Linked DNA regions of Ovis aries. The protein of the gene in region 2 purifies or fractionates together with the protein of the main gene of each other region. This does not show direct contact. Links are inferred from orthologs where the notes say so. Each region holds a gene or a part of one and is shown on either strand. Other genes may lie near its edges.

Region 1 (10,557 bases), on a different chromosome or scaffold from region 2:
TTTTCTTCTAACATGAATCTAAGAGCTGGACAGTGAGGCATTGGAAACAGGCTCAAGTTTGGGGTGCCCTAGGCAAGGCAGGCACAGGGCCAAGTATCATACTTACCTGCTACAGTGTGAAGTACTGGAAAGAGCATGGGCTTTGGAGTCTGACAGACTTGGATTCAAATCCCAGCTCTGTTACATACTGGCTGGGTTACTTTGGGCAAGTTACTTAATCTCTCTGAGCCTCACATTCCTCACCTGCAAAATGGAGATAATACCATTATCAAGGTAGTTACCCTGAAAGGCTGTTGTGAGGATTAAATGAGACAGTACGTATAAAACTGCCTGCAAGTGCACAGTATGTTAACTGTTATTTTCCTTCCTTTCTTGATGATGTCAGTTGGCTTTCCCTATAATGCTGAGGTGTGAATAAACTGGAAATTTTCTCAACACTACTAAAGTGTCTGTCCCACTACCCAGGAATCACTCCCCCAGAATCTTTTAACATTTAGTGCCAATTTCATGTACTTGGTTATTATTCAACGGAAGCTGGAATGCCCAAGCAGACATTTTTCTCTGCATAAACAATTAAAAGCAGTCCTGCCAGAACCCTGCCCAATCTGGGATTATATAAACAGACTCTAATGATTAGATATTCTAAATCTTATTATAATGAAAACATCTATTAAAAAATTATTCTACCTACTAGGCTCCTCTGTCCTTGAAATTCTACAGGCAAAAATAAAAAAGTTTTTCTATGCCCTAGTAAATGACTAACTTATTGGATCAATATTACACTAAAGAACTAAACATATAAATATACTATTATTAGTAAATATCTTTAGAAAAATGATTTCTACATTATATGCTTTCCTGTAAAATACTCAATAGCCCAAACCAGTATATGCTTTCCTGATTATAATATTAAACACATATATATTTTTTAAATTCTACATAGCATATGTATTTATAGTCTATAACCACAGAAAAGTAAACTATCTAACAAAGCAACCTATTGGTATGTTACTTGGTAAAATGATTATATCTGAATAACTAATACAAGTTAATGCCTTTCAAATTTAGGAATATTTTTCATTCTGAATATACTCAGTCCTCTAAAGAAATAATTCATTTTTTAGTTTTGTGATTACAAGAGGATACACATTCATTATATTCAAACATTACAGAAACATTAAAGGTACAAATACAGTTTTCCTAATCCTCTTTTTGTCCTTTGATAACCAGCAACAATAATTTGGCATACACTCCTATAGACTTTTTAATGCATTATAATTTAGGCAAGTTTTCACAAGAATTATGGTTTGGGAAGGAGTGAAGAGGAAAGCAGAAATGAGGGAAAATCTTTTGCAAATATCTTTGCTAATGCTAGAAATATACTTAAAGGTAAAAGCCAGATTACAAAACTGCACATCATGTATTTTGTTTAAACAAATATCCAAAAAACACATTACCCAGGAGGGAAATGTAAATCAAAGGCACAATCAGATACCACTTGACCCAGACTGAGATAACTGTAATAATAACAAGTTTTGGTGAGAATGCGTAGAAATCGGAACTCTCATACACTGCTAGTGGGAACGTAAAATGGTACAGCCCTTTAGAAAACAGTTTGGCGATTCCTCAAAATTTTAAATGCACAAAGTTACTGTATGACCCAGCAATTCCACTCCTCGGTACATCCGAGAAAAAGGAAGATACACATCTACACAAAGAATTATACTTAAATGGTCACTAGAAGCATTATTCACACTAGCCAAAAAGTGAAGGGGGAAAAAAAGCCAAATATCCCTCAACTGATGAGTGGATAAATAAAAATGTGGCATACCCACCAAATGGAATATTATTTGATAATCAAAAGAGATGAAGTACTGATACACATCACAACCTGAATGAATCTTGGAAGCATTGTGCTAAATGAAAGAAACTAGTGACAAAAGAATATATGATTTCACTTACATAAAATGTCCAGAAGAGAAAAACCTATAAAGAAAAGTGGATTAATGGTTGCTTAGGGTTTGGGAATTAGGGGGAAATGAGAAGTATCAGTGGGCATGGGGTTTCTTTCTGGAGTGATGAAAATGTTCTAAAATTGATGGCAGTGATGGCTGTGCATGCTCAGTTGCGTCTGACTCTTTGCAACCCCGTGCACTGCAGCCCGCCAGGCTCCTCCGTCCATGGGATTCTCCAGGCAAGAATACTGGAGTGGGTTGCCAAGCCCTCCTCCAGGGGATCTTCCCCAGGGATGGAACCTGCGTCTCTTAAGTCTCCTCCATTGGCAGGCGGTTTCTTTACCACTAGCGCCACGTGGGAAGCCCTGAATGGTTGCACAACTGTGCAAATACACTAAAGACCACTGAACTGTACCCTTTTCTATTGTAGTAAAGCTGCTAGAAAATAATAACATTTGTCATCTTTAGATGGTGAATAGTAATTTAAATTTTCTAATACATTCCTATAATTTTCAAATTGTTGGTAACGACTATGAGAATTATTTTTTGTTAAGAGGAAAGTTATTTTTCAAAGAGCTCTTTGTGAGAATTAGAATGATATTATTCTAGAGGTTGAGACAGAATTACCCCTTGTATTTAGTCAGTCAGTCACTCATTATACACCTACTATGTGCTCCAGGAATTGCTCCAGCATGAGCAAAGTTCTAACTTCAAATCAATAAATTACATCGTTAACACAGACAAGACTCCTCTGTTAACTTCAGAAAATAAATTAGGTATCATGCCACCACTGACTTCTCTGTCTTATTTTACACCAATCAATATGAGGAAATAGTCTCTTCAATACAATGATTCTGTTTTCAAATTTTAAGACAACTTTAAAACTCATTTTAACACTAAAGATAAAACCACTGCAACACTTCATGGCTTAATAGCAGAAAAGGTATACCAAAAATTCAATTAGCAACAATAGCTAATAATTCAAAAACACTGGGAATCAATTCTCTAAGATGCTTTCTGGCTGTCAAGTCAATCATAAAAAAGAATCTTTATGTAAACTGTTACCAGGAGGAAAATTAAAACAAACTCAAAAGAACTCCTTGGAAATAGTTTGCCTTGAAGCTAAAAAGAACACAGCCTGAAAATATGGATGAGGAGGGATGAGGCATATGCTCAAGTAATGGGCAATTTCAATGGCATTCAGCTAACACCTGTCAGCTAAAAATGAAGTATTCAATCAGAATCTCCAGGGATGGTAACATCAGAAGATTATGGGGGAACTGGCCTCATCTAAATTCTTGATTAGGAGAGCCAAACAAGGCACCTATGTTTTGAAACACTTTACTGGCTATACTGATGTGCAGCCAGGGTTAATAATCACTGCATGAAGCAACACTCACTAAGGGAAACAAGAGAATGAAAAAATCTGTTCTATAATTTAAAAATTAGAGACAATGTAACAAAGCCATTGAAGGGAGAAAAACTGGAGAGTAAGGAGACTACATACACTAAACATACTCCAAAAGTCTATTCAAGAGATGTGAGCTTGAACTAAGAACGAACACAAAACAGAGGGACAGGGCTCAAGTTAGGGGTTAATCATAAAGCAAAATCTATAGGACCTAATGATCAAATGGTTATGGAGAATGAAGGAGAAACAGGCAAAAATGACTGAGGGCCCTAGTTTGAATAACCAGGTGGTTAGTGATGCCATTAACCAATGAATGGAACGCAAAAAAGAGAAGCTGATTTGAAAGTTAAAGAGTTAATAGAGGCAAGATTCAAGGGGCTTTAAAGGCTATTTACAATATTCTACTACTAGGTTGGATAGTTCGGAGAAGGCAATGGCACCCCACTCCAGTACTCTTGCCTGGAAAATCCCATGGACGGAGGAGCCTGGAAGGCTGCAGTCCATGGGGTCGCTGAGGGTCGGACACGACTGAGCAACTTCACTTTTATGCATTGGAGAAGGAAATGGCAACCCACTCCAGTGTTCTTGCCTAGAGAATCCCAGGGACGGGGGAGCCTGGTGGGCTGCCGTCTATGGGGTCGCACAGAGTCAGACACGACTGAAGCGACTTAGCAGCAGCAGCAGCAGGTTGGATAGTTAGTGTTCACTGTATTATTCTTTTAAAATTGAACAAATACCACAAAATTAAACTAGAATCCCAAGGTCAAAACTCTGAGATAAACTAGGAAAACGAGTGGGATATATGTAATAAAAAGGGGAACAAAAAGAAGGTGGAGTGAACTTGGTTTTAGACCTATTGAATTTGCAGAAACTAAAATACTATTTCATGAAACAGGGGCTAGAGAAAAAGATGTGGAAATGGTTGGCATACAACAATAATACCATGGAAGTAGATGAGAACTCTGAGAGAGAGCTTATGGAATAAGGCGATGGTGAACCACCAACTAAAAGAAGTCCACTGAGACTTCGAGAATAATCAGAAGGAGAGAAGCTTTTACCAATTCCCTTTGCAAAGGCATACAGAAGAAGATCAATTGAAAAAAAAATTAAAAGCTACCATTTATGATTATCTTACTGTATTCCAGCGGCAGGTCCAGAATTTCCAGATAGGTGGAGTTACAGGAGTAATCAATCTCTTTGAAGGAGGGCTTGAAGATGCTTTTGCACAGGACTTTATATTTAGCTTTCTACTAACTGACCAGATCAAAAAATCAAGGGAAAGAAGTTTGAAGGAAATAATTCCCCTCCACTTTGGCACCACCACTGCTGTATTCTAGGCACGGTACCAAACATGTTACCTAATCTTCCATTCTCAAACTAAGGTAGATGAGGAAACTGAGGCTAGATTGGAATATCAACTTGCTCAAGGTCACAAATCTTCTAAGGAGCAGAGCACATCATCTTTGTTCCCATAGCTCTCATGGCTCTTTACACCTTACTAGAATTTCTCATTACTCATCTTGATTATAATGTATATTTATGTGTCTCTGTATCACTGTACTGTTAGGTCCTCAATGCCAGGGTTCAAGTCATTCATTTCTGTATCCTTATAGCTAAGAAAGAGTAAATATTTTGTTGAATGAAGCATATGAAAGAACTATGTGAGAACAGCATCAACAAGGTCAACAGGGGAGAAAGAGTTTCAAGAAACGGCTAGTAGCACCAGATGCTACGGACAGAGCCACCAGTATATCTTAGGTCGTCAACGGCACTGAACTGATATCCCTTAATCATTTTTGAAAGCCTACTACAGGCGGGACACTTTGTTAATTAGACACAAGTTAACGTGGAAAAATAAAATCTGGTACAAGTCAACAGATTTTCGGAGTAGCAGCCACATCTAAATTCTTGATCAGGACAGCAAAACAGAGTCAGGGCTGAAATCGCTTACGTTTAATTTGGCTCTGGCAAATCTGAAGACAATTTTAAAGGGTCACAGCGCATCTTTTAACAAAACTTCTGGTGAGGGACAAGAGATGAAAATGGGCCAGCGCACCACTGTCTCGACGACGAAAGCTGGTGGCCCAAGCAGCCGAGTCCCTCCGGAGTGTCTACCCCGCTGAGCAGGACTGGGGCTGCCCCCAGCTGCCAGTCGGTAGTCTGGGGCGGGAAAAAGCAGACACTTACCGCAAAAGGCACCGCTACCGCCGTGGCCCGAAGGGGCCCGGGAGACCTTCGCGAAGCCCCACGCCGGGGGAGGAAACCAGGGAACGCCGGGATCAGACAGACAGGTGCGACCCCACAGCCCGACTTCCCAACCTGGATAAACTAGGGTTCCAGCGCCCAGTACCGCAACGCCAACTCCCACCAGCTGGAAGCCCGACGACTGCCACCGAACCTTCCGCCCAATGAGGAAACGTCACCACTCAGCGTAGTCCAGCCTTTCAAGAAGGGGATACACTTCCGCTTCCGGGGCACTCGGCGCGTGTCTACAGTGTGTTTACCGAGAGTGTATTGAGATGTGTCTTTGCCTTCATTGGCCTTTGACGTTCGTTTCCTATCACTTAATATCTGCGGCATTAAAGTTAGTAAGAAGATAGGAGGCTTTCTAGGGATGCGATCTCAGGAAAGATGTCCAGCCTCCAGGAGCCACCTTAAGAAAAATGACTTGGCTGAGCACCACCAGCTAAGAGGGGAATTATGAAAGGTGGGGGTGGGGGGAGGGATGTCTCAGAGTACGGAGTCCCAGGAGCACGTGAGAACACCAAGTACGAGGCGGGGCTTAGACTTTGGTAGCCGAGGGAGGCGGGTTCCACGCCGGGTCTAATCGGGTGTCTGAACCGGCCTCTACCTGCGCGTGCGCAGTGCGAACCTTCCGCTGCTCTGCTTTCTTCTCCAACATGGAATTCCGCGCCGCGCGGCTCGCAGTACTGCAACTGCTCCGTACGGTGGCTCCGGCAGACCTCCCAGCGCTTCTGCAGTGGATGCGAACTACCCGTAAGCGATCAGAGCCAGAGTCAGACAGTTGGGGCAAGGATATGCGGTGGGCGCTGACCTTGGGGACCTAGGGTGAGGCCAGAAGTCTTCCATGGGGTAGCGGTGCTGGTCTCTGCTCTGCTACCTGGCGGGTTGACCCGGGCATATCGCAAGCATCGGCAGAGTAAGAGTCCAGTTTAGGACTGGGTGCAGAAAGACCCGGCTCTGGGTTTTATGATTCCGCTACAGACTTAGGCAGCTAGAGCCGCATAGTGTCTACTCTCATTCCTAAAGGAAAAAAAGGTGGGAGGAGTGGGTTAGCCCACCTCCCCATTATTCTCTCAAATTTGGGGCGACCAGTAGGATACTACCTGAAAAAGCCCTTTGCGATATAAGTTTTAAACTGTAGAACTGGAAGTTTTTTACCCTGTAGGCAAAGTCACATGTAGCTAATCTCAATGTGTGTGTTAGTCGCTCAGTCGTGACTCTTTGCGAGCCCCATGAATTGTGTAGCCCACCAGGCTCCTCTGTCCATGGGATTCTCCAGGCAAGAATACTGGAGTGGGTTGCCATTTCCTTTTCCAGGGGATCTTCCTGACCCAGGGATTGAACCCGTGTCTCCTGCATTGCAGGCAGATTCTTTACCATCAGCTTCAGGGAAGTCGCAACTAGTCTTAATAGTCCATACATTTAAAGGAGTTGTTCCAGGGTGGGGAGAGAGAGAAAGAGGGGAGGGGAAGACTTTGGTTTGAATAATATTAATAGTAATACTAAAAAAGCACACGTTAGAATTGAAATGTGGTAATTAGGTCGAGTTAGTGAAGAATGGAGGTAGATCTATATTTTAGCAAAGTGAAACCTGGTGAAAGCACAAAAAAATAGGATATTCCTCGTTTGAGAGCTCCTCCAAACCATGCTCTCCTTCTGTACTCCTAAACGTTGATTCCATGTTTATTTTCAGCCAGACATGAAATATTCCTGTTTGCTGATGACTCCCAGTTTTAGACTTTCAGGCATGACATTCTCCCGGGAACTTCTCTCTCTTTGTGTTGTTAGATTCAATAATCATTTAGGTGTTATCATTATTGTTATTACTGTTACACGTTTTGGAAGATCATTTTAGCTAAGATGCCAAAATAAAATTACTTTGGACATCTGCTAGTGAGATTTAGCCTGGAAAGTAGAGAAAACCAAAGAGGTAGCTTCATATTTTTACACACAGACAACATTCAAGATTGTTGTTCAGTCGCTCAGTCGTGTCTGACTCTTTGGGACCCTATGGACTGCAGCAGGCAGGCTTCCCTGTCCTTCACCATCTCCCGGAGCTTACTGAAACTCATGTCCATTCAGTCAGTGATGCCATCCAACCATCTCGTCCTCTGTCGTTCCCTTCTCCTCCTGCCTTCAATTCTTCCCAGCACCAGGGTCTTTTCTAATGAGTTGGATCTTTGCATCAGGTGGGTAAAGTATTGGAGCTGCAGCTTCAGCATCAGTCTTTCTAATGAATATTCAGGATTGATTTCCTTTAGGAGTAACTGGTTTGATCTCCTTGCAGTCCAAGGGACTCTCAAGAGTCCTCTCCAACACCACAGTTCAAAAGCATCAATTCTTTGACATTCAGTCTTCTTTATGAAGAAGATTCAAAATTGGTATTTTTTAATATAAGATCTTTTATTCCAAAATCCCCTGGATGCCTGCAAAATTGCCATCTACTGCCTGTTTCTGGCAATTGCACAATTACTAAAATATCCTTGCTGTCAGGATTTTTCAGTTTTGTGGAACCATTTGTAATCTAAATCTCCAATTTTAAAGGCATCAGCTGAGACTCCATTTTTCCGAAATCACTGAAAGTGCGTTTTGGATGATGATTTTGTAAACAAGAAGACCCAACACTGTTGCCTAAAGAATATGTTTCTACTTTTTCTAACACCATGTTCTGTCTTTCTCCAGCAGATCCTGTAGTCAGAGGTGCTCAAGCAGTTTGTTAAACAATTTAAAAAAACAAACTGAGTTTCTGAAAAATATTTATTACAATGAATATTTTAAGAAATAAGTATCACTTATTCTTGCCTGAAGAATCCCATGAACAGAGGAGCCTGGCGGGCTATTGTCCATGGGGTCACAAAGAGTCAGACACAACTAAGCGACCGTACTTTTTTTCTTTAGCTTAAGACGAAGGAGTATGTTTTAATATAAATCTTAAAAGGTAGTGTAATTTATTGGTAAACCTTTTTTAGGTGGTAATATAATATATACATAATATAAAATTTACCATTTTCAAGTGTACAGTTCAATGACATGAAATACATTTACATTGTACAACCATCATCATTATTGCCTCCAGAACTGAAACTCATTGTGTACTTTTTTTTATTAAATACAGCACAAAAGATTCTTCCAATCAGCAATTTTTCATTTCCCTAATTCCCTTCTTCCAGGGGAAAAAAATTATTGCATGATATCTTACTTATATGATATTTGCTTAGACCTTTGTTAATTATAACTCTGCTTGAATTTTTATACCATTTAGTGGAATAGCAAGAGTTAATAATAGGCTTTATGATTTTGGTTTTGAGCTTCATAGAATTTATTGAAAATTAAAAAAACTACATATTGCTAACAAGTAAAATCACAATAATTTTAAATACACAGAAGAAAGAATAATACTGTTGGTCTCTGAAGAAATAGTGGAATTATCATACCTAGACCTGGGGTCATTTGGAATCAAGCTGATAGAACCAGAATCGTAGACCAGGACAGAGATAAGCACATGTCAACGTCTGATATAAACTGAAGATGTAGAAAAAATAAAGATAGGCCCTGTATTTACTTTAGTACAGCTTATACCAAAGGTCTAGAAACAAATGATCACTAGTATAGGAGGGATGAAAAATACTTCCCCTGTGACTCAGACAGTAAAGCGTCTGCCTACAATGCGGGAGACCCAGGTTCAATCCCTGGGTCTGGAAGATCCTCTGGTGAAGGAAATGGCAACACACTCTAGTACTCTTGCCTGGAAAATCCCATGGATGGAGGAGCCTGGTAGGCTGCAGTCCATGGGGTCGCAAAGAGTCAGACACAACTGAGCAACTTCACTTCACTTCACTTCATAGGAGGGATGAAACAAAGTTTAGGGACAAAGCACGCAAAGACAGCTCCCGCTGCAAATAAATAAGAGTAAAAAAATATAACAGGACCTCAGTGCATTGACTCTAATCTCATGGTAGAGCATATGTTCTTTTCTACTTCTTTATATACATACTACTTCGTGTATGTATATGAAATGGACTCTTGGCTTAGCTTTCAACATATAGGAGAGTAACTACAATCTATTAAGGGAACTGAGAGCCAGAACTATATGTGCGGTCCCCACTAGGCATATTAACAATTGCATTTTGTTAACAGTTGTCTGTTAACACTATTCTGAAGCCTCTGAATTTTTCCTGAATATGCGTATACAAATGAGGATGTCAGACCAACAACGTGTAAAAGTTTCTATTGGGTCAAGTTACAAATACATACACGACCATGTGTAAAATAGATAGCTAGTGGGAAGTTACTATAGCACAGGGGCTCAGCCCTGTGCTCTGTGATGACATAGAGGGGTGGAATGCAGGGTGGGGTGGGAGGGAGGGTCAAGAAGGAGGGGATATTGTATACTCAACAGTGATTCATATTGTTGTATGGCAGAAACCAACACAAAATTGTAAGGCAATTATCCTCTAATTAAAAATAAATTTTTAAAAAGTTACAAAGGATAGAAAAGTGAGGTATACTATAAGGAAATTAATAAAATCATCAAGAAAATATTTTAATATTTAAGGAAGATAATTGTAGATGAATAGAAGCTTTTAGAAGGTTCTCTGCTTCCTGTATTTTAAATACATCTTCATTGAACAGGCTGCTTAGCAGCAGTTAGAAAGTTGTTAGAGGTTCTTTGAAATTCCTACTAAATCTAAAAAGCAAAGGCTGGGATCTAGTTACATTTGTCAAACAGCATACTATTCCAGTTCTACATTGTATTACCACTGAGGAAGTAGCCACATAACTTACAGATTTTCCAACCTTTATTAAAACATTATGAATTTGTGAAAGTTATCAAGTATATGAGGTAAATAGATTGTTTTTTCCAGAAATTAAAAAGATACACTGGGCAAATGCATACCTCTTAAACAAAATTTTTCTGTCAAGTAAAAATAATTGTACTTTTCAGCA
Region 2 (10,639 bases):
TTTTTAAAAAAAATTGTGAAACAGCACAAAAAGAGGCAGAAATAAAAACAAGAAATGAAGCAGTCCTTCTGAGGTAGGTTTTGAAATATAAGCAGCTGGCTTGTCACACTGGGGCAGGGGTGGGATTCAACACTGCAAAGATGGAGACAGGCTTGTTCAAAAGCTCAGAGGCCTAAGACTGCATGGCATATTAAAGGAGCCCTTAAGGAACACAAAAAAGACAGAGATTAGCGGGGATGTGAGGGTGGGGTTTACATTATGAGTGATGAGAAGCCACTGAAGATTGTTAAGCAGGGTAGTAAGAACCCAATTTGCATTTTTAGAAATCACTCTGGTGGGACAACTGAAGGACGAACTGGAAGCAGGGACACAGAGCTACTAGTCCAGGGAAGCGACAACGAAGCCTTAAGGGGTTAATGCAATGAAGATGGAGGGTTCACCACAGGAAATGAGATGAGACCTTGAATCAATAATTCACAAATGCCCAGCAAAGCATATGGAACTTATCAGAGGATCAAAATACAAGTTTTTCAAATGAAGGAATAGTAAATGAGAATAAGGGAAAGGAAGGAACCAAAAATGATTCCCAGGTTCTGAGCAGGTAGATGACAGTGTAATTAAAGACAGGAAGCAGGAGAAACCAGTTTGATAAGCGATGAGGACTTCCATTCTAGACAGGCTAACCTTACGAAGTAGAGGAGGAAAAATGCTCAACTCAGACCTAGTCAGGAAGCCAACAGAAAAATATGAGCTGAAGGTTCAAAATTGGAAACAGACATACAGGCAGTACTGGACTTAATGGACTGATCCAGAAGTGATAAGACGACATCAAGGACAGAACCCTGGAGAAACCAATATTAATGGAGCAAGTCAGCAAAATAACTAGCAAAGAATGAAACAAACAGAGAAAAAGAAAAACAAGATAAAAGGAAGCCACAGATGCCAAAACATTTCTACAAGAATTGGTTTCCTGTTTCAAAAGCAGCCAGGAGGGGGACTTCCCTGGTGGTCCAGTGGCTAAGACTCTGCGTTCCCAATGCAGGGGGCCCAGGTTCGACCCCTGATCCGGGAACTAGATCCCACATGCTGCAACTAAGAATCCGAATTCCACAATTAAGGATCTTGCATGTCTCAATGAAGACCTGGTGCAGCCAAATAAATATTAAAAATATTAAAAGCAGCCAGGAGGTCAAGCAAGATATGAACTGCTGGGTTTGAAAATGAAGGGGCTGCTGCTGAGCCCTCACTGAGAGCAGGTTCAAGGAAAGACTTCATGTAGAAACCACATGGCAGAGGGGTAAGACATAAATGGGGTGTGAGGAAGCGACAGGAATGAGCAGACAGGGAACGAGAGAAACGCAACTACAGAGCCTATAACTTCTGTTCAAATACCACTTACTCCTCACACATCTACAAGGAAACCTTTACCCCTGTATCTATGTTTGGTCTCTATGTTCCTCTTGTTTGGCTGTTATTAAACTATACCTGACAAACTGTATTAATGAAGCAAGTTGAATTATCTTTCCAAGTGCCTACAAAAATAGCTTCAAGAACAAGGCTCTTGTCTTGGGAATGAAACACAAAATAAGCATTCTAATGGGTGACCTGCATAAATTCTATGTAAATAATTTCAAACACATGATTAACTCAAGCAAATCTGAAAGTATGCAACAAATAAAAATGTATACTTACAACTAAATCATCTGTTACTTTAATACACAAACTCCCATCAGAATGCCTATATTTGAGAACCACACGGGCCTGAAATAAAAATACATATTTAGAAACAGTGAAGTCAGAAGACATTTCTCATAAATAATTTAGTCTTCAAGTGAGCTAAAATAAAATAGATCCTTTTAGAATTAATAGCCAAAATATCTAAAGGCACCTTTACTGTAAACTTATCATGACTGAAATGAGGGGAAACAGCATTTTGTGCATTCCTATTGCTACAATATTTTTAAGACTTAAAAGAAAGTCAGGTATTTTATTTTCAGCCACTTTAAAAAGATGTACTGAAAATTCCCAAGGCACACCCATATTCAGAGAATGTCTAAGACTGGTTTGGCATTTCTTGCCAGTAAGACTATGTATGAAGGGTATTCACAGCATGCTACCTCAAAAGTATACCACTTCAGCTAAAGGAAAGTTTTGAGCTGAAGGTAATTAGTTCTCTGCCCTTTCTGATCAAAAGCAGGACATAAATTAAGCTTTGTAAAGATTACCTAAGTTCCCAATTGTAAAGGTGTTTCTTCTCCCTGGGAAAAGAGAAGAAGGCTTGTTCCCTACCTTACCAGACAACTCTAATATTGCCTATACATTCCCTGGTCACCTTCTCAGAACGTACCCCCTCCCAGAAGCCCCAAATCTCTTTTCCTCTGTCCAACCTCCCTCCCATACTTTCCCACCCTTAAGATGGTATATAGGTCCCAAATTCCTCCTCTTTGTAAACTTCTATGTTAAGTGTAAAGTCTTTCTATTTATTAAACTGTCTTTTGTCAGTTTAATTTGCAGAGCCCCAGTTATGAAACCTAAGAGAGTAAAGGAGGTTTTCTTCTCCCCTATAATACCCACACACCTAGCCACAGAGGACTGATAGGAAAAAGGGCGGGGGGGAGTAGAAATGGCTAGTAAAATTCAAACCCATTTTCCAGGAAAGAGCACTGCAGTTGCAGTTCATACTTTCCATTTCCCCATGACTCTCAAGAGGTGGACTCAGACTAACTACTCAGCAAAATCGTATCTTTCTCATGATGGCACGACATGAGACACAATTTTCCACATCTAGAATAACTCCTACATTGAGTTAGGAGTGCCATGCTGTGCCATGCTACACAGCACTTTTGCTATTGGGTGTTCTACAGTTAGGAAGCCAAGAAAATGATTTAGATATTAGTACATTCCAATAAAAGATAACAGCTCCCAATAGAGTTTACAACCTCCATGAACATTATTTTTATTTCTTTAAATGATGGATGCAAAACAGTGTACTACAGCAGAGTCAAGTTCCTTCTTAATAAAAATATAATAAACAACTCTAGTTTAGCTTTAGCTAGCTGTTTTAAAAATTGCTAAGTATCTACCAGACAAAACAGGAACATATATTTAAAATGGCTCCAATGCAGCACAGGACCCTCAAGATAATTCTGGAAACTAGATAAAAAGGGCTATTAGAGCTTTTTCTACAGCTTTTCTCATTATGCCTTCTACTCTCCTGGGTTTGCAAATTAAAAAAGGTCATATCATCCTGAGATTTGTCTTGGTGAGGGAGGAAAGGGAACTCAACAAGCACTTAAGTAGGTGTAAGTATCTTTAGACTACCTAATAAGATTCTACTTATTGAGCCAGTAAATTCAGTTTCACATATTAAAAAAAATTAGTCCTCTGGAAACAAAAGGAAACCAACTTAAAAAAGTGCTAAGCATGACAACTATGTAAAGTTTTAACTCCTGTTTAAAAGAATACTTAATGGCTTCATTAGGAGAAATGAGTTAAAAAACTCTTTGCGGTCCCATGGACTGTAGCCTGCCGGGCTCCTATGTCCACAGGATTCTCCAGGCAAGGATACTGGAGTGGGCTGCCATGCCTTCCTCCAGGGGATCTGGAACCCGCTAAGTCTCCTGTATTGGCAGGCGAGTTCTTCACCACCAGCGCCACCTGGGAAGCCCCAATCCCCTTTCTATTGGTAAATTAGAAAGCACCTACGTTACCATGTCAGACACCACTAAGAAGAAAAAGAAGTCAAGGTTCTTGCTTTTTTAGTAATTCAACCAACTTAAATAATCAAAACATAAGACAACATGAATTAAGTCCTAGAAAGACATATACACATAAAATGCTAAAGGAGGAAACAAGTAATTTAGATTGGGGGAAGGGAAAGTGTAAAAAGAATTTATGGAAATGGCTGCAGAAATGCATTTTTTGTTTTCTTTCTTTTAGGGAAGAAGTTAGGAGAAAGGCTGAAGCAGCAGTCTGAATGAAGATATGATGCATCCTGTAGCTTTCTGAGGCTAGCTAGGGCTGAGGATGGTGGAAATGGTGGGAGACAAAGCCAACAAGACTGGAGAGAGGGTCAGACTGGGGCCTGGAAGGTGGGACTTTTACCAGCAATCAGTGAAGAACTAGTTTTAAAACAGGAAACTGGGAATTCAATTTTTGTGTCTGAGATAGCTGCAGTATGTATGAGAATGAAGAAGGAATTTTAAAAGCAGGCAGACAAAGAGGTTATTACATGGTCTAGCAATAATACCATCTTTACTTAGAGCGGATGCAATGGAGAAAGGTAAAAGGTGATAAATATGATCAAGAGGAAGAGAAGACAAAGAATTCTGTAAAACAGATCCCAAAGAGTTCTGACAAAATTTCTTTTCTTCTTTAGTTTCAGCAGTATAGACTGGTAGAAACAGCATGAACACAGTGTTTAGAGATGTGGGTTCAAATTTTAGCCTAATCTCTTAATGATCACCAGGCAAATCATTTAATGTATCTAAGACTGTTCATTCAACTACCTCAAGGGATTGTCAACTGTATACATGGAAGGTATTCAATACAACTGTCAGTCAAGCTCTCTTCCCACTCATCCCTTTACCAGCCTATCAAAAAAAAATCAGTTAAAACCCAGTGAAGGTTATCATGAAAAGGCACAAGTTTTTAGGTCACTGGAATTTTCTGAAAAGAACTCAGGTTCTCCCTCCCCTGTCTATTCTACACATGCTTTGTTCATAGCAATGCTCAATAATAATCATTTTATTTTCATTTTCCCTATAACTATGACCACATTCTTATAGTATTATTACTCTTACTGTGGATTTGTATATTCTTTACTATCTTTCCAAATATTAGTTTACACTGTGGGTACTTCTACAAAAGTCCTGTATAGTCCTCACGGTACACTGCTTAAAGAAAACAAATGGTCCTACGAACAAAATCAACCAAATGGAGGAGCCAGAAATTGTGTCATAAACAAAGTACTCAATTTCACAAGTATCTAATTCATTTTATTATTTATTACTATTACATCACTTTATTGCAAAGAATGGAACTAAGACTGTTTCTGGCTTGTTACTTATCTAGGTCTAAAAAGCTAGCAGGGCTTTTCAATATTTCAAATAATATTTAGATGACAATAAAAACCAAGAGGAAGAAAAATCAAGACCCAAATGCTAAATTCTTGTCCTTGCAACTTCTCTGGTTACTAACACACACACGGATCCCTGTAATTCATTCACGGCCCTGGTAAAATTATGATAAGCCGATGTCAGAGGTTAGCTTATTATAATTTTATGGGGGCCATGAATGAATTACAGGGATCCATGTGTGTGTGTTACTCGCTCACTTTGTGTCCGACTCTTTGTGACCCCATGGACTCTAGTCCCACCAGGCTCCTCTGTCTGGAATTCTCCAGGCAAGAATACTGGAGTGGGTTGCCATTCCCTTTTCCAAGGGATCTACTTGACCCAGGGATCAAACACGAGTCTCCTGCATTGCAGGCAGATTCTTTACTGTCTGAGCCTCCAATGAAGGCCACAGGGATCCACGGACCCCCTAAAACTGTTTACAAACATTTATGTGTTAAGTGCATTCTCCTACTCTTAAAGGGCACTAACCTCCAAAATATTAAGAACCACTAATCTGCGGGAGGTAGATGCCTCCAAATGAGGGTCTTTGATGCTTCTGAACTGCGGTGTTGGAGAAGACTCTTGGGAGAAGACTCTTGAGAGTCCCTTGAACTGTAAGGAGATCCAACCAGTCCATCCTAAAGGAAATCAGTCCTGAATATTCACTGGAAGGACTGATGCTGAAACTCCAATACTTTGGCCACCGGATGCGAAGAACTGACTCATTTGAAAAGACTCTGATGCTGGGAAAGACCTGGGAAAGGCGGGAGAAGGGGACGACAGAGGATGAGATGGTTGGATGGCATCACCGACTCGATGGACACTGAGTCTGAGTAAGCTCCGGGAGTTGGTGATGGACAGGGAAGCTTAGCGTGGTGCAGTCCATAGTGTCGCAAAGAGTCGGACACGACTAAGCGACTGAACTGAAACTGAACTGAAGCGCCACAGGAAGCCGAAGCTGCAGAGGGGAGGAGCCCTGCCCTTAGAGACACGTAAACCAACGGTAGGGAAGCTCAGGGATTGTAGGCGGGGGAAGGCTTCTTAGAGCCCTGACTTGACCCTGATTTTGCTGGTTTCAGGCTTCACTGGGCCCTTCTTAAGAGAAGAGACGAAAAGAACAATCGGACTTCGCGCGGAGTCCGTCTCTCTTCACACACAGCACCTCCTAGGATGCTGCAGAAGCTCCGGAGGCCGAGCGGACGCCAGAGAAGACATCCTGACCCGAGCTAGGACAGAGACACTGGCTCCGCCTGCGATTTACCTTCATTGGGTCGGCGAGGTAGAGTTTCTCCGCTGCGCGACTGAACTCCTCCCAAGTCTGGTACTGCGGCATCGTGGGACCGCGGCAGAAGGACAGAAAGAGGCACGGCTGTGGACCGGAGGCGGCGCAGCACGGCCCACCTACCTCCCTAACTCCCACAGCCGGCTACCGAGACAGGGGCCCAGAAGCTCAAGGATGGCGGCGCCGCCTCGCACCAACGCCTCGCTCCATTGGTCAGCCTGGATCGTTCTTGCCCAATGGGAAGGAGGGATGTTGCATAGGAGGCGGAGCCCCAAGCGTGTGAGTCTGGGAGAGGGTCCGAAGAGGTGGAGAGAGGAGAGACGATGGAGGTTGCCACAGCGCCCCTTGTAGGACTGGAGGAGGATCTGTCCCGCTGTCCTTCTGGCTGGACGACAACGATAAAGCCCAGGTTTCTTCAGCAAAGATAGAGCGGCTTAGTGATAAGCGCTGGAGCTGTCTCGCTTACAGCTTAGTAAAAGGCGAGACAAAAACAGAAGAGTGCAATGGAGAGCTTTCTATGATAGACATCTGTGTCTAGAGGACGCTAACGGGGATGACACAAGTTGAATCTTGAGAAACATGACGGGTGTTAAACAGGTGGGCAGGGCAGGAGGCCTATTTTAGATCCGTAGTGTATTTAATGTGGGCATCCCCTGGAGGAGGGCATGGCTGCTGCTGCTGCTGCTGCTGCTAAGTCGCTTCAGTCGTATCCGACTCTGTGCGATCCCATAGACGGCAGCCCACCAGGCTCCCCCGTCCCTGGGATTCTCCAGGCAAGACTACTGGAGTGGGGTGCCATTGCCTTCTCCGGAGGGCATGGCAACCCACTCCAGTGTTCTTGCCTGCAGAATCGCATGGACAGAATAGCCATAGAGTTGCAAAGAGTCAGATAGGACCGAAGCGACTTAGGACGCAAGCACGTATTTGGGGCACGGGGGAAGAATGGGAAGAAATCATATCACTTAAGCCGGAAGAAATTTGAACTTTGTTCTCCAGGCTATGGAGTGAGGTAGAAGGGTATTTTTCTTTAATCAAGTTGAAGTATATTTTATGTATAGTAAAACATCAGTTTTAAGGCTTTCCTGGCGGCTCAGTGGTAAAGAATCCGCCTGCCAATGCAGAAGATACAGCTTCTATCCCTGGTCCCGGGAAGATCTCACATGCCGGTGAGCCACTAAGCCCCTGCCCCACAACTACTGAGACTGCGCCCTAGAGCTTGTGCGCTAAAACAAGAGAAGCCACCACAGTTAGAAGCCCCAAGCACCACAAGGAAACAAAGAGCAATGCCCCGCCCGCCAGAACTTGAGAAAGCCGTCGCAGAGCAAGGAAGACCCAGTACAGCCAAAAATAAATAAATACAATTATAGAAAGTAAGTTATACTAAACACATCGGCCCTGGACTTTGCTCTCCATTGTTCAGCAAGTGGAGAGCCGGCAGATGTTAATCACAACAGGACGCGGTATGATTAATTTTTATTTTTAGAACACGTCACTAGTGGCTGTAGGAAAGCTGAATTGGTGAAGTCCAGCCTGTGCAAGGTCAAAAGTGAAAGCTTTTATTCTTTCACCTAAGTTGGTTACCTCCTATGATTGTTTCCGTGCCCTTGCTTCCCATTCAATCTCATTCCCACCATAGTACCTTCTACTCTGTCCCCACCTCAACTCTCAAATGAAGTTGCTTTCACAAGGTCACTAACTGCTCTCAGAGTCACTAGTGACCTTCATATTGCCCAGTCCAGCTGACAATCCTTTATTTTTTTTTAATTTTTAAAATATATTCATCTATATTTATTTCTTTATTTCCTTGCACTGGGTCTTCCTTGCGGCACGTGGCATCTCTTTCTCTGATCAGGGATGGAGGCTGGGCCCCCTGCATTGGGAGTACGGAGTCTTAGCCACTGGACCACCAGGGAAGTCCCTCAATCCTTTCTTGACTAGATCATTCAACCGCATCTGAGGGCACATGCCACTCTTTCATCCTTGAGATTTCCCAGCCGCTTGGTTTTTTTTACTCCATCCTTCCTTGCTCCTTCTTCTGCCTCTTTGGTTTTTCCCTCTCTGGCTCTGTCCTAGCCTCCTCCACTCCCTTTGCCCTTCAACACTGGGTCCTGAGGTATCATACTTTGATTTCACCCTCTGAGTTTTTCCTGGGCAATATTTGGGTTTTCACTTTCGCCTCTATGCTGCTTAGTGCAGGTTCTTCCGTGAGCTTCAGATTCATATCCAAATGCCTTCCAGGCCTTGGGCTAACTCCAGAGTTCAATTTCGGGAGACGAAAACAATTTTTCAGCAAGTTGAAGCAATTTGTAAGCCATAAATATGATGCGTCCTTTTTGACTTATTTTACTATTGCCATTTGGCAAATTATTAGCCACTCATACACCATATTTGACTGCCAGGAATTCAATAACTTTTAAGGGTCAGTGTGTTGGGCAAAATCCTTATAAGCTAAAGAGGTAAGGGGTAGCGATAATAAGGCAAATTCACCCATACCGATAATTAAAGACAGGAGCGTGGCACAGTGCAGGAGAGAGAAGTCATCTCACAGGATCTAGTGCAGGACAGAGCCTTTCCACAAGATTTAGTGGTTCTTCCTCCCTCTTTCCTCTAAGGAGGAAGGTCTGTTGTTGTTGTTAATTCTTTCCCAGAAGCTTTTTGTCCTTCTTTGTTCTCCTCGGTTGTCTTCTAAAAGCTGGCAGCATAGGGTGTGTAGACCGTTGTAGGAGTAGGTTCTTAAGTGGGTTCTTACATTTGCAATCATAACAGTCCCCAGTGCTGCTGGCATGTTGGGAACTAAAGGTCATTATGTTGATTTTCATACATTAAGCATTTGTGGAACTCTGGATACGCCGGGACTCAAAGAAGTCCCAGTTCTCCTGTGCCTTCCTAGGTCTCATGAATTCAGTGCAGCACAGTTAGAGTGAAAGAGAAGCCAACAGAAAAACCGGTTTGCCCAGGAGCTGGATCCAGCATGGGGAGGGAAGGAAACCTGAGAGCGCCCCGACGGGGCCGGGCTGCTTTGGCGCGGTGTCCAGTGGAGGGCAGTGGTGAGCAGATGGTCCCACGGAGACGGATCCCTGAGAGCTGACTTCAGCCTTTTCATGATCCCTATGGAGTGCGGGAAGAAATATCAACAACCTCAGATATGCAGATGACACCACCCTTATGGCAGAAAGTGAAGAGGAGCTAAAAAGCCTCTTGATGAAAGAGGAGAGTGAAAAAGTTGGCTTAAAGCTCAACGTTCAGAAAACGAAGATCATGGCATCGGTCCCATCACTTCATGGGAAATAGATAGGGAAACAGTGGAAACAGTGTCAGACTTTATTTTTTGGGGCTCCAAAATCACTGCAGATGGTGACTGCAGCCATGAAATTAAAAGACGCTTGCTCCTTAGAAGGAAAGTTATGACCAACCTAGGTAGCATATTCAAAAGCAGAGACATTACTTTGCCAACAAAGGTCCATCTAGTCAAGGCTATGGTTTTTCCAGTGGTCATGTATGGATGTGAGAGTTGGACTGTAAAGAAAGCTGAGCACCGAAGAATTGATGCTTTTGAACTGTGGTGTTGGAGAAGACTCTTGAGAGTCCCTTGGACTGCAGGGAGATCCAATCAGTCCATTCTGAAGGAGATCAGCCCTGGGATTTCTTTGGAAGGAATGATGCTACAACTGAAACTCCAGTACTTTGGCCCCCTCATGTGAAGAGTTGGCTCATGGGAAAAGACTCTGATGGTGGGAGGGATTGGGGGCAGGAGGAGAAGGGGACGACAGAGGATGAGATGGCTGGATGGCATCACAGACTCGATGGACGTGAGTCTGAGTGAACTCCGGGAGTTGGTGATGGACAGGGAGGCCTGGCGTGCTGCGATTCATGGGGTCGCAAAGAGTGGGACACGACTGAGCGATTGGACTGGACTGAACTGAACTGATGGAGTGCGTACGCCTACCTTACCTGAGGCGGGTATTGGTGCGTTTTGTTTATCGTTTGCTCAGTCTCAACTTTTCCTTTCCAGAAAGAGCCTTAGCTCTTACTTAACTGTCAGGAACTTCCAACCCAGTTTAATTAATTACTGATTGAGCACCTCTTCTGTGTCAGTCACCCTGCCAGGCATTCTACAGTGAAAACAAAGATGTGCGTGAGCAGCTTGAATGCTAATGTGAGCAGAGCAGGGTGTAGGTATAAGGCGAGTTTATAAATGATCAAGACTGGAGGCAGAAACAAGCGTTTATGGGGATTCAAG
Region 3 (9,839 bases), on a different chromosome or scaffold from region 2:
CTGCCGTGTCCAACGCTTTGTGATCCCATGGACTGTAGCCTACCAGGCTCCTCGGTTCATGGGATTTTCCAGGCAAGCATACTGGAGTGGGTTGCTATTTCTTTCTCCAGGGGATCTTCTCGACCCAGGGATCGAACCCAGGTCTCCTGCATTGTAGGCAGATGCTTTACCATCTGAGCCACCAGGGAAGCCGGGGTCAAATAAGTATTCCTTTAGTTAAGTGAACTGAAGAACAAATGCAAGAATGAATGAATGAAATTTTCTCCCCCTCCATCTTTTTCTGCTTGTCCCTAGGACTTATCTAACATTGTGTAATTTTTACTTATTTTTATTTATTGTCTCTATCTACTGCTGGAATATAAGCACCATGAGAGAGGGATCTTTGACTTACTTCACTAATGCCTCCCAAGTGCTACAATAGTGTCTTGATTAGGCTTCCCTGGTGGCTCAGACGGTAAAGTGCCTACAATGTGGGAGACCCGGCTTTGATCCCTGGATCAGGAAGATCCTCTGGAGAAGGAAATGGCAACCCACTCCAGTACTCTTGCCTGAAAAATCCCATAGATGGAGAAGCCTGGTAGGCTACAGTCTATGGGGTCGCAAAGAGTCGGACACGACTGAGTGACTTCACTTTCTTTCTATCTTGTTTTAAAGACTGCCAAGGGGAGAATTCCTGAAAGTTTACTTGATAACCTCTCCAAAGTCACCTTATGACAGCCCTCCTTGAAATTAACTGAATCCTTGAGACATACACCTAGTATCGATTATTCTGGATCAACCAGAGCATATTTAGTCAGAATCCTTATAAGAGCGTTTAGCAAGAATTTACTGATCATTCTTTTTCTTCATGAGTGTGTACGCTAGCTCTTCTTCATGGGGAGAGAAAAACTAGTGAGTCGGTGGCAACCTCCCAGCATGCCTATTTTTGGCAGTAAGCTGCTGCTACCCTAACCTGACGCAGCCAATCTCTTCAAATCTCTGGCCCATAGGAGTGAACAGATTCTTGATTCTTTGCCTCCCACAATGCATCCAAGGGACATCCAAGTTAATCCGCCACTGCTGGACAAAGCTGATGGGACTAGAAATGGGTTTGTAGCCCAAGGAAATGAATCCCAAGGTCATCCAGAGTACTTTCCTGATATCCTGATGAGAGATTAAGATGCCAGTCATGTACATCCCTGGACATTCAGTTCTAGGAAGGCCTTCAACACTCACTTCTGTGATTTTCCTGAATAAAATGATACACTTCAATTATACCAAAGGCTGGTTCCTAAAAGATATTCTTTTCTTTGTTTATAGCATCTGGTACATTTTATTTTGTCTAATCAAAATAAAACGTTTAACTTCATTTATGAAAACAAACTTAGTATGTTTAAAACATTTAAATTGCAAACAGTTCATATGGTCAGTTCAATGGAAGCTCGGACAGGCAAAGTACAATAAACAGAATGAAATATCACACACACGCCTCTGTATAAATCAACATGAAAGGATATCTAAGATATTTCAAATGGAAAAAGCAAGTTACAAAATAAAAAGCACAATGAGCATTCTCTGTTAAACACTTCCTCCAAGCTATTTAGATAGTATTATTTTTGCATATATGTTGTTTTTGTAATATAAAAACAGCAAACGTAATGATAATTTCAAACACATTTATTTTCTAAATCACTTTGAGGTTGATTTGTGTCATATAATTTCAACAAACGCAAGGTTTACAGAACAACTGTGGTAAACAATGTAACTGTCTCCAGGAAAAGTCGTATTTACAAATTGAAGAAAAACTATTTAATTAAATGTAGCTTTTAGAAAAACATTATGCATTACCACCATAAAAAAAAAAAGATATTCCTAAGAATAGCTCTAGTATCCAGTGAAATCTGAAGAGGTAAACAAAAAATTTTTTTCAGTCATATTCAGAAAATCTAATGTGTTGACTTGCTTGTTGAGTCTTTTCGAGTCTAATCTTTTCAGCTTTGGTGATTAACTACAGAGAAAAAAATCAGAAATTAGAAGGAACTGGATACCTAAAAACAGAAAGATAATTATGACTAGAAAAATCTCACAACTATTAGCTTGAATAAAATATTTTAAAAAGGGGAAGAGGAAAACAAATGAGATAATTAAGCTCAGGTCAAATCAGTTACAGAGAGAACTACCTAAGTTAGAGCTTATTAAATGTAGATATTAAATCTTTGAATTATCTAAGATCCTTGCATTTTAGTTCTAGACTACTAAAATTAATTTCAATTAAAAATAACCAATAATTTGGTTATTATTTAATTAATAAATAACCATAATTCCACCAACGTGGACCTACTATTCAGCACAGGGAATGCTCCTCAGTATTCTGTAATAACCTAAATGGGAAAAGGATCTGAAAAAGAACACATGTATATGTGTAGTAACTGAATCACTCTGCTATACACCTGAAACTAATACAACACTGTTAATCACCAATGTGTCAATATAAAATTAAAATTTTTTTTTTGACATTTTAGGAGGGTTGAAGACCAATCTTTGTTTCATCATGTCCCTTGGGGTTTGAGTATTAAGACACTTTGCTTACAAATTTGAGAAATATTCTAAATAAGGATCTGCTATTAAAAGTACTTATTATTACACTCTTACATAAATAATCAAAAATTTTACAGAAGGCAAATGAAATTATGCAGAATAAAGAAGACCATTTAAAGTGCCCCAAAGCGGAGCAGTGTGAAGAAGAGGCGAGAGCGACCCCTGGATCGACTTAAAGCCCGCGCCCCACTGCATCCCCGTGTCCAGCGCCTCCGTCCCACCGCCGCAGCCACCATGCCCAAGAGAAAGGCTGAAGGGGATGCTAAAGGAGATAAAGCCAAGGTGAAGGACGAACCACAGAGAAGATCTGCAAGGTTATCTGCTAAACCTGATCCTCCAAAGCCAGAGCCCAAGCCTAAAAAGGCCCCTGCAAAGAAGGGAGAGAAGGTACCTAAAGGGAAAAAGGGGAAAGCCGATGCTGGCAAGGACGGGAATAACCCTGCAGAAAACAGAGACGCCAAAACAGACCAGGCACAGAAAGCTGAAGGTGCTGGAGATGCCAAGTGAAGTGTGTGCATTTTTGATAACTGTGTACTTCTGGTGACTATACAGTTTGAAATACTATTTTTTATCAAGTTTTATAAAAATGCAGAATTTTGTTTTACTTTTTTTTTTTTTTAAGCTATGTTGTTAGCACACAGAACACTTCATTGTTGTTTTTTTGGGGAAGGGCACATCACTAACAGAATGTCTCAGAAGCTGAATTGACGTGGGGGGAAAATACCTTTCCCGCCTAGTTTGAGAGACTTCCTCTTGGTTCCCAGGAAGGAGGGATTCCTTGATGTTGACACACATTAGCCACCTTGGCACAAACGCCTTGTGGTGTGGGAAAACTAAAATTTAGTTTTTATGTCCTCTTCTCCCTCTCCACCTCAGCACAGACTTGACTCCACTAAACCCAGAGACCTGTTGGAACCTGAACCCCGTGCCCCCCCAAAATTGATGACCAGTATGTCAGGCAATCTGGACTTTCTAGTGTCACCGTTGAGATGGCGTCCTTCAAAAGAGCAGCAGTTCCTTTTTTTAGACTGCGGCTCCTCAGAGTGATACTTCTGCCATTTTCATTTCCATTTCCTGAAAGTCAGGGTCGGCTTGTGAAAAGTTGTTAAGCAACATGCTAAATGTGAAATGTCAACCCTCACTCTAAACTTTCCCTGTTCAGAGCATCACATGAAGATTTCACTGGGTTTTTATAGTGGCTTTCTGATTTTGGTAGTCCATTGAAGAAGGGAGTTTGAAAGTTGTATACTGTTAACGATTGTCTGCCCATGTCCTGCCTGAAATACCATGATTGTTTATGAAAAGTATCTTTAATAAAGCTGGATACAGTTAAAAAAAAAAAAAGTGCCCAAAAGCTTTCTTGATAGAAAAACTAAAGTAGCATATTTAGCTTTGGAGGAAATGAAAATCTTATTCTCTTATAAACACAGATTCTAATGACTATTCATTAAAATAGTTTTTTTAAGCTGGTGATAAGTGGTCATTGGCAGGAAGTCACCATTATTTATTTTTCAGTTTTTTAATTGTGGTAAGTTTTTAGGAAGTCGCTTTCAGGTTAAACTAAAAGCAAACTGATCAGTGGAGTCAAAACTTAAGTGTTTAAAACTTACAACCATATGCTTTTCGCAAATTATATGAATTCTATCTTTATCTGTTTAATAGCTGACCTGTCAGTACTATAAAGGAAAGACGAGTTCGGTAAAAACAAGAAAAAATTCAAATGTGCTTTGCAAGCTAAAGAAAAATGAGAAAAGCCTCACTGTGTCTCCAAAACCTGTTATCTAATTTTACTAAAATGCTTAATGTGATAGGGTACACTAGAAAGATTTGGTTGAGGTAGAATGAATGAGACCCCTTATGGCAGGTCTTTCCTTCATCTTACTGACCTTTTGTTACAGGTCTTAATTTATCTGCACTTGATTTTTATGTCAAAATATCATACATAGAAAACAAAGTATCTCTTTATCAATTGTCTTTTAATTCTTTACAAACTGAATAGAGCTTAGAAAACTGTCCCCAGTAGCCCTCTCCTCTACAAAGTGAAAAGAATAACCAGGATTTTCTATCAGTATTTTTCTTTCACTCAAGTATACTACTGTAGAAATGGTAGAATGGCATGTCAGTGAGGCATTTACACTATACTTTTGACTGTTAATATTTTCTAAAACACTTATTTTCCATTACTAACACGCTTGCTTGCTTCCTGTATCCCAGCTACACTGGCCTCCCAGTCTGACAATCTCCCTTCAAGACCTCTGTGCTTTCTGCTGCCTCAGAGTGTCAAGCGGAGCGCCTAAATTCTCCTGGCTTGTCTGCTCACTTCCCTAAGGTCTGCACTACGGTCACCTCTGTAGAGAACTTCCCAAGGAACCTCATCTGATGTACCTCATTATACTTTTTGAGTTTTCTGCACAGCACTGGTCATCATCTGACCTATATTAACTCTAAGCCTCATGAAAAAAGGAGACCTTGTTACTCATGGCTAGACACTCAGTTGTTAAACAGTGGCTAACACAAACCAATACCAAAAATGTTAATTAAATGAATTAACAAAGTAGTAAACGAATAACCTTCTCTCCTCTGAGGAGCTAGGTTGTGTGGAACCTTTTTTCATTTTATGAAATGAGCAAACTAGTACTTTCACTGCTTTAGCTAGAATTCTATACTCTCAGATGTCTGCCTAACATACAAATCATGCTAAAAGCCTGATCCTATTCATTAACACATGAGAACTCTTCAACTCAACGACAGAACTGCTCACTGGTTTGAACCCAATTTACAACATTCTCTGTCAGTGTATATTTCCTTGTCTCAAATTTAATGTATATAGATGGAGTCTTTCTTAAATACGAAACTGCTTTTTTTCTAGTTTTAAAAATACACACAATTTAAATGATATTTTACACCAATTAGAAGGAAAAATATTATTTAACAAAGTGATTTCATTTCAATTGTGAGTTCTGGATTAATGATTTTAACATTTAAGTTAATCAAAGCTTAAGTAGGCTTTGAAATTAACACCTCATAGACCTGAAAGAGTCCTTAAAGAGGAAGGAGGTCTCTCTATCTCAACAAATTCAGTCTGCAGTCATGGAAAGAGAATTAACAAAGATCAGTAGAAAACCTCCTCCCAAGTCATTTTACATTCCAATGAATCCTAGGAGATGCAAGACTGATGAAAAAAACTTGATTTTCCAATTATAAAAAAAAGAATTTTATAAATAGGAACAATTAACAAACTCAGAACATAGGAAGTATGATTTTTCATAAAATAATGCACATACATCTTTTTGGATTTTACTGATTTTTACAGTACACATTTAGAAATTGATAATTATTATATGCCCTATTTTGCTCTAAGCACTTTAAGATGTACTAACTTTAACACGTATAATATTTTTAAAAAGAATAAACAGCTTACTAGCAACAATAAACATCTGATAAATTCTTAAAAGTAAAATTACTGAGAGACTTGCTTTAAATTATTATTTTTTTCTATAAATTATTTAATGTACTAATTTAAGCGTGTTTATTTCCCCTGTCAGCTATTCTAGAGAAAAAGGAATAAAGCTTACCATTGCTATTGGGAATGATATGCATAGTTTCTCAATCTTATCTGTAGAGACTCATATCTTTAAAAACTACACTCTAAATACACTGTGCTTTCTACCATTAAGACAATCTTTAAATAATCATTTACCACCAAATTATAAAAGAAAACAGCCAGAAATTAAAATTACAAAGTATGAACTGATTTACCTTCTCAGTGCCTCTTTTCTTTTCACGAGGTTGATTAAGTTTGGCCTGCCTATCTACCAAAATCTTCTGCCAATACCTCTGTTCATGATCACCTTTAAACAAACAAACAAACACAAAAATGCTTATCACTGAACATAAGGATATAAATGAAGAAACACATCCATAGCTTTGTATTTTCAGTAGAACCAGAATAGTTGTCTGAGTTATTTAATGCCTTTTTTGCACATATTAGTGTAAAGAAACCTCCCCCAGTTTCATTTGCCAAACTTGGAAATTATAAAACAGTCACCCTAAAATAAGCATTGTTAAAATAAAAAAAAAAAGAGGAGGTTCTATAAAGTTTTACCAGAAAGAATCTCTAGTTTCCAGCAGTGTTTCTTTTTAATTTCCGAATGTGCAGTTACTACTGCTTGAGCATCCTCAGGAGTTTTAAATCTAGCATGGCATTCTGTATCTCCTTCCAGCAAATCAACATAAACAACTTCTGAGATTGCTGCCAAAGTATCCTGCATTAGAATTTAGAAGGGCTTAAAATAAATAATAAAAACATTTCATTATAATTCTAAAATTAATCCAGTGTAGGATCTATTATAAAATTAAGCCATGTATCATTTCAAATTAGGAGTAACTGATTCATTCCAGTTAGCTTCTAAGATATATACAAATGGAGAATTCCTTGGCAGTCTAGTGGTTAGGACTCTTCACTCTCACTTCCAAGGGTACAGGCTCAACTCCTGGTCTGGGAGCTAAGATCCCATAAGCTAATAAGAAAGACGCCCAAAACAGACCCCAAACCAAAAACCAAACCACCACCAAAAAAAAGACCTCAAAACAAATGCTCTTAGGAATGGACTTGGACAAAGCTGAGGACCAATTTAACATCAACTCTAACAACTGTTTTTCATTTAACAGTATCTTTAAAGTTGTACTAGATGGGAATGTGACATAAGGGAAAAGATCTATAGTACAGAATGTACAAATACTTTCCTCTACCCCTCAAATTTAGAAGAAGGGCTCCATGTCTGGGTGTAGTTAGAGAGTAAAATGAAAAACAAAACTGAAATGGCATTAAGGAAGAAGTTGTGTTTCCACTTACCTGGATAGAATCACTTAGGACTTAAAATATATGCAAACTTTTTATAACCACTTGTGAAAAATGTTTCAAGGAGCACAGAAAGATGTTTGGTTCTCAAGTTGTCTATGGGAATACAGAGAGGGCCAGAGGTTTTACTCTGATAAAACATCTAAGCAACCTCTTAGAGTCACGTAGCAATGAGAAGTTTTACCTATAAGGCCTGCTGTGAGGGCAAATTAACAAGATTCCTGCATTCCCAAGTCATTTTTTTTTTCACAGCAGGTTCTACAGTGTAAGCAAGGTAATTATGCAGGAATGTTACACTAATTCTTAATTCATCAACTTCCATTCATAAAGCTAAAGTAACTGAAGGTTCCCAACTGAAAGAAAAAAAAAAAAAGGCAAGCCCTACCTACCTCAACCCCTTGAGTTTAAACCTAAAATTTCAAGATGCAACTGATTTAGACTATTTATTTATTAAAAGAAATATTTATTTGGCCACGCCTCTTGGCTCGTGGGATCTTAGTTCCCCAACCAGGGACTGAACCCAAGTCTTTCACAGTGAGAACTTGGAATCCTAACTACTGGACCACCAGAGGATTCCCTAGATTACATTTTGATGTTGAATTTTAAAATTCTGAATTACAGAAAGAACTCAGCAATACCTGGAAATATTACTTCATAAGAAAAGTGCCTTAGTTAATAATAAAGAATAAGTAGTAAAAATCCATGCTTATATATTAATACAAGCCAGGTACTAAGTCTTAATTTATCCAACACTTAAAACACTGCTTATCACAAAATAGACACTTTATAGGCAAATTCAATTTAAAAACTGAAAACTGGAGAGAAATATACTTGCCAATTCTTCCCATTTCTCTATCTAGTTAATGAGTATTTAATTTAAACACAAAGAAGGAAATATAAAGTATTAAGTGATGAAATCTGAATGTGTTTACTGGTAGTAGTGAGAGTTTTGTAACTGATATATTTACTAAATATCCATTATAATGTCAGGCTAATCTCCAGATTTAAAACCCTTCTTAGAATGACAAATTAACCTGGCTATCACATGGGCAATTCACAGACAGCAGTAAGAATCATAGCTCAGTTTTTGTTCCAGCAAAATGTAAGTACTTACCTGGTTAATAGCATTTATTCTATGATTTTGGTGATCAAAAATGAAGAATTTGTAATTGACATAATTACCATTTAGATAATAAAATCTCTCTGATAAATATAATTAAACCTATTCCAGTTATTCAAAATAACAAACTTTGAGTAATTTTTCTTTGAAAACGTGGGCCATCTGACTAACCACCGCAGCATTTACATCTTCAATTTTTTAATCCTTTTTATTGCAAAGTCTATTTTGCTACCAAATTTTGAAGTGCAAGCTAGTATATCAATTTGGGATTAACAAAATTCCTCATCAATACTATAGTGAGAGTCTAGATTTACGTGTTAGTGACAGATACAGGATTTTAAGGGATAGGGTTTCAGATAAACAGTGCTTACAGATGGTTACAATGAGCAACTTCAATGGTTACAGAAGTTAAAAAATGTTTACTGGTAACAGTCTCTGGAAAACCAAAACAACATACCATATGGTGCTGACCTCAGCTAAGAATTATAAATACACTTGCTATGTTACAGAACACATTACTTAGATTAAAAAGAAAGTGTTTCACTTAAATGGATGAGAAAATTTAAAAGTAAATAGGGTACTCCCACTAAAAAGAGTATGGGAATAACAAATATTGCCATGCTAGTACAAAATGCTGTAGGGGATAAACTGTATAAAATGAAAAAAGACGATGAGAACTGCAGGGATAGGAACTTCAAGTGTAAACTATAAATTCTGGAGATTGTCAAAATACTTTACACTTTCCTGTAATTGTTTCAAAAATTTTAAAATAATCGGTGTGGACTGAAAATACCAAAAAAACTTTTAGGAATAAAATTTTTAAAAGCTCTTCTTGCCAAAAACAACAATCCTGCATTTTTTTCAGGAGAAAATTTCAATTCTCAAGAGGATTCATTAACAGACAAAAATTAAGTCTACAGTAAGTGAAAAATATGCACACTATCCCTTTTGCTTCAAAATAGTTCCGATTTTTTTTTTAAGTCACAAAATCTTTTAGGAATTTATTGAAAACTAAAAGCTCTAATGAAAACAAACTACAAATTCTCTAGTTTGCTCCAAATAAGAAAACAGCAAATAGTTACAGTTTTATTTTAGAAACAATCACAAACCAACTTTAATGTTAGTTCAATCTTTATGAAAGTTTTATCCCTAAGTATTGCTCCAAAATCTAGTTTCTCTGGATTTTTTCTGAAAAACAAAAAAGGTTCCCTGAGAAAACAAATATTGGGAAAAAGCATTTAACTTAATCTCCTCTTTTGCTATAATAACTACAGTAGGGTT

What was found.
Region 1: the proteins of SRP9 (region 2) and signal recognition particle subunit SRP54 purify together in Homo sapiens (co-immunoprecipitation; 4 studies listed by BioGRID and IntAct, counting the BioPlex papers as one, with this or other methods). This does not show direct contact. The link is inferred for Ovis aries from reciprocal best matches to the Homo sapiens genes SRP9 and SRP54.
Region 3: the proteins of SRP9 (region 2) and LARP7 purify together in Homo sapiens (affinity purification with mass spectrometry; 3 studies listed by BioGRID and IntAct, with this or other methods). This does not show direct contact. The link is inferred for Ovis aries from reciprocal best matches to the Homo sapiens genes SRP9 and LARP7.

The regions. Positions count from the first base shown.
Region 1 is NC_056071.1:43,049,054-43,059,610, reverse strand, and holds the start of signal recognition particle subunit SRP54, read right to left. Parts: upstream 5,777-10,557; 5' UTR 5,554-5,776; intron 244-5,553; exon of another isoform or gene 107-243; intron 1-106. Other genes in the region: uncharacterized protein LOC101118645, read left to right, coding at 6,267-6,363. UniProt on the Homo sapiens protein: Component of the signal recognition particle (SRP) complex, a ribonucleoprotein complex that mediates the cotranslational targeting of secretory and membrane proteins to the endoplasmic reticulum (ER).
Region 2 is NC_056065.1:28,084,589-28,095,227, reverse strand, and holds the start of SRP9 (signal recognition particle 9 kDa protein), read right to left. Parts: upstream 6,570-10,639; 5' UTR 6,451-6,569; coding exon 6,379-6,450; exon of another isoform or gene 6,197-6,378; intron 6,121-6,196; exon of another isoform or gene 6,062-6,120; intron 1,762-6,061; coding exon 1,693-1,761; intron 1-1,692. UniProt on the Homo sapiens protein: Component of the signal recognition particle (SRP) complex, a ribonucleoprotein complex that mediates the cotranslational targeting of secretory and membrane proteins to the endoplasmic reticulum (ER).
Region 3 is NC_056059.1:13,370,318-13,380,156, forward strand, and holds the end of LARP7 (la-related protein 7), read right to left. Parts: intron 6,864-9,839; coding exon of another isoform or gene 6,855-6,863; exon of another isoform or gene 6,843-6,854; coding exon 6,683-6,842; intron 6,429-6,682; coding exon 6,337-6,428; intron 3,922-6,336; exon of another isoform or gene 3,085-3,921; coding exon of another isoform or gene 2,812-3,084; exon of another isoform or gene 2,708-2,811; intron 1,988-2,707; coding exon 1,907-1,987; 3' UTR 1,639-1,906; downstream 1-1,638. Other genes in the region: non-histone chromosomal protein HMG-17-like, read left to right, coding at 2,812-3,084. UniProt on the Homo sapiens protein: RNA-binding protein that specifically binds distinct small nuclear RNA (snRNAs) and regulates their processing and function.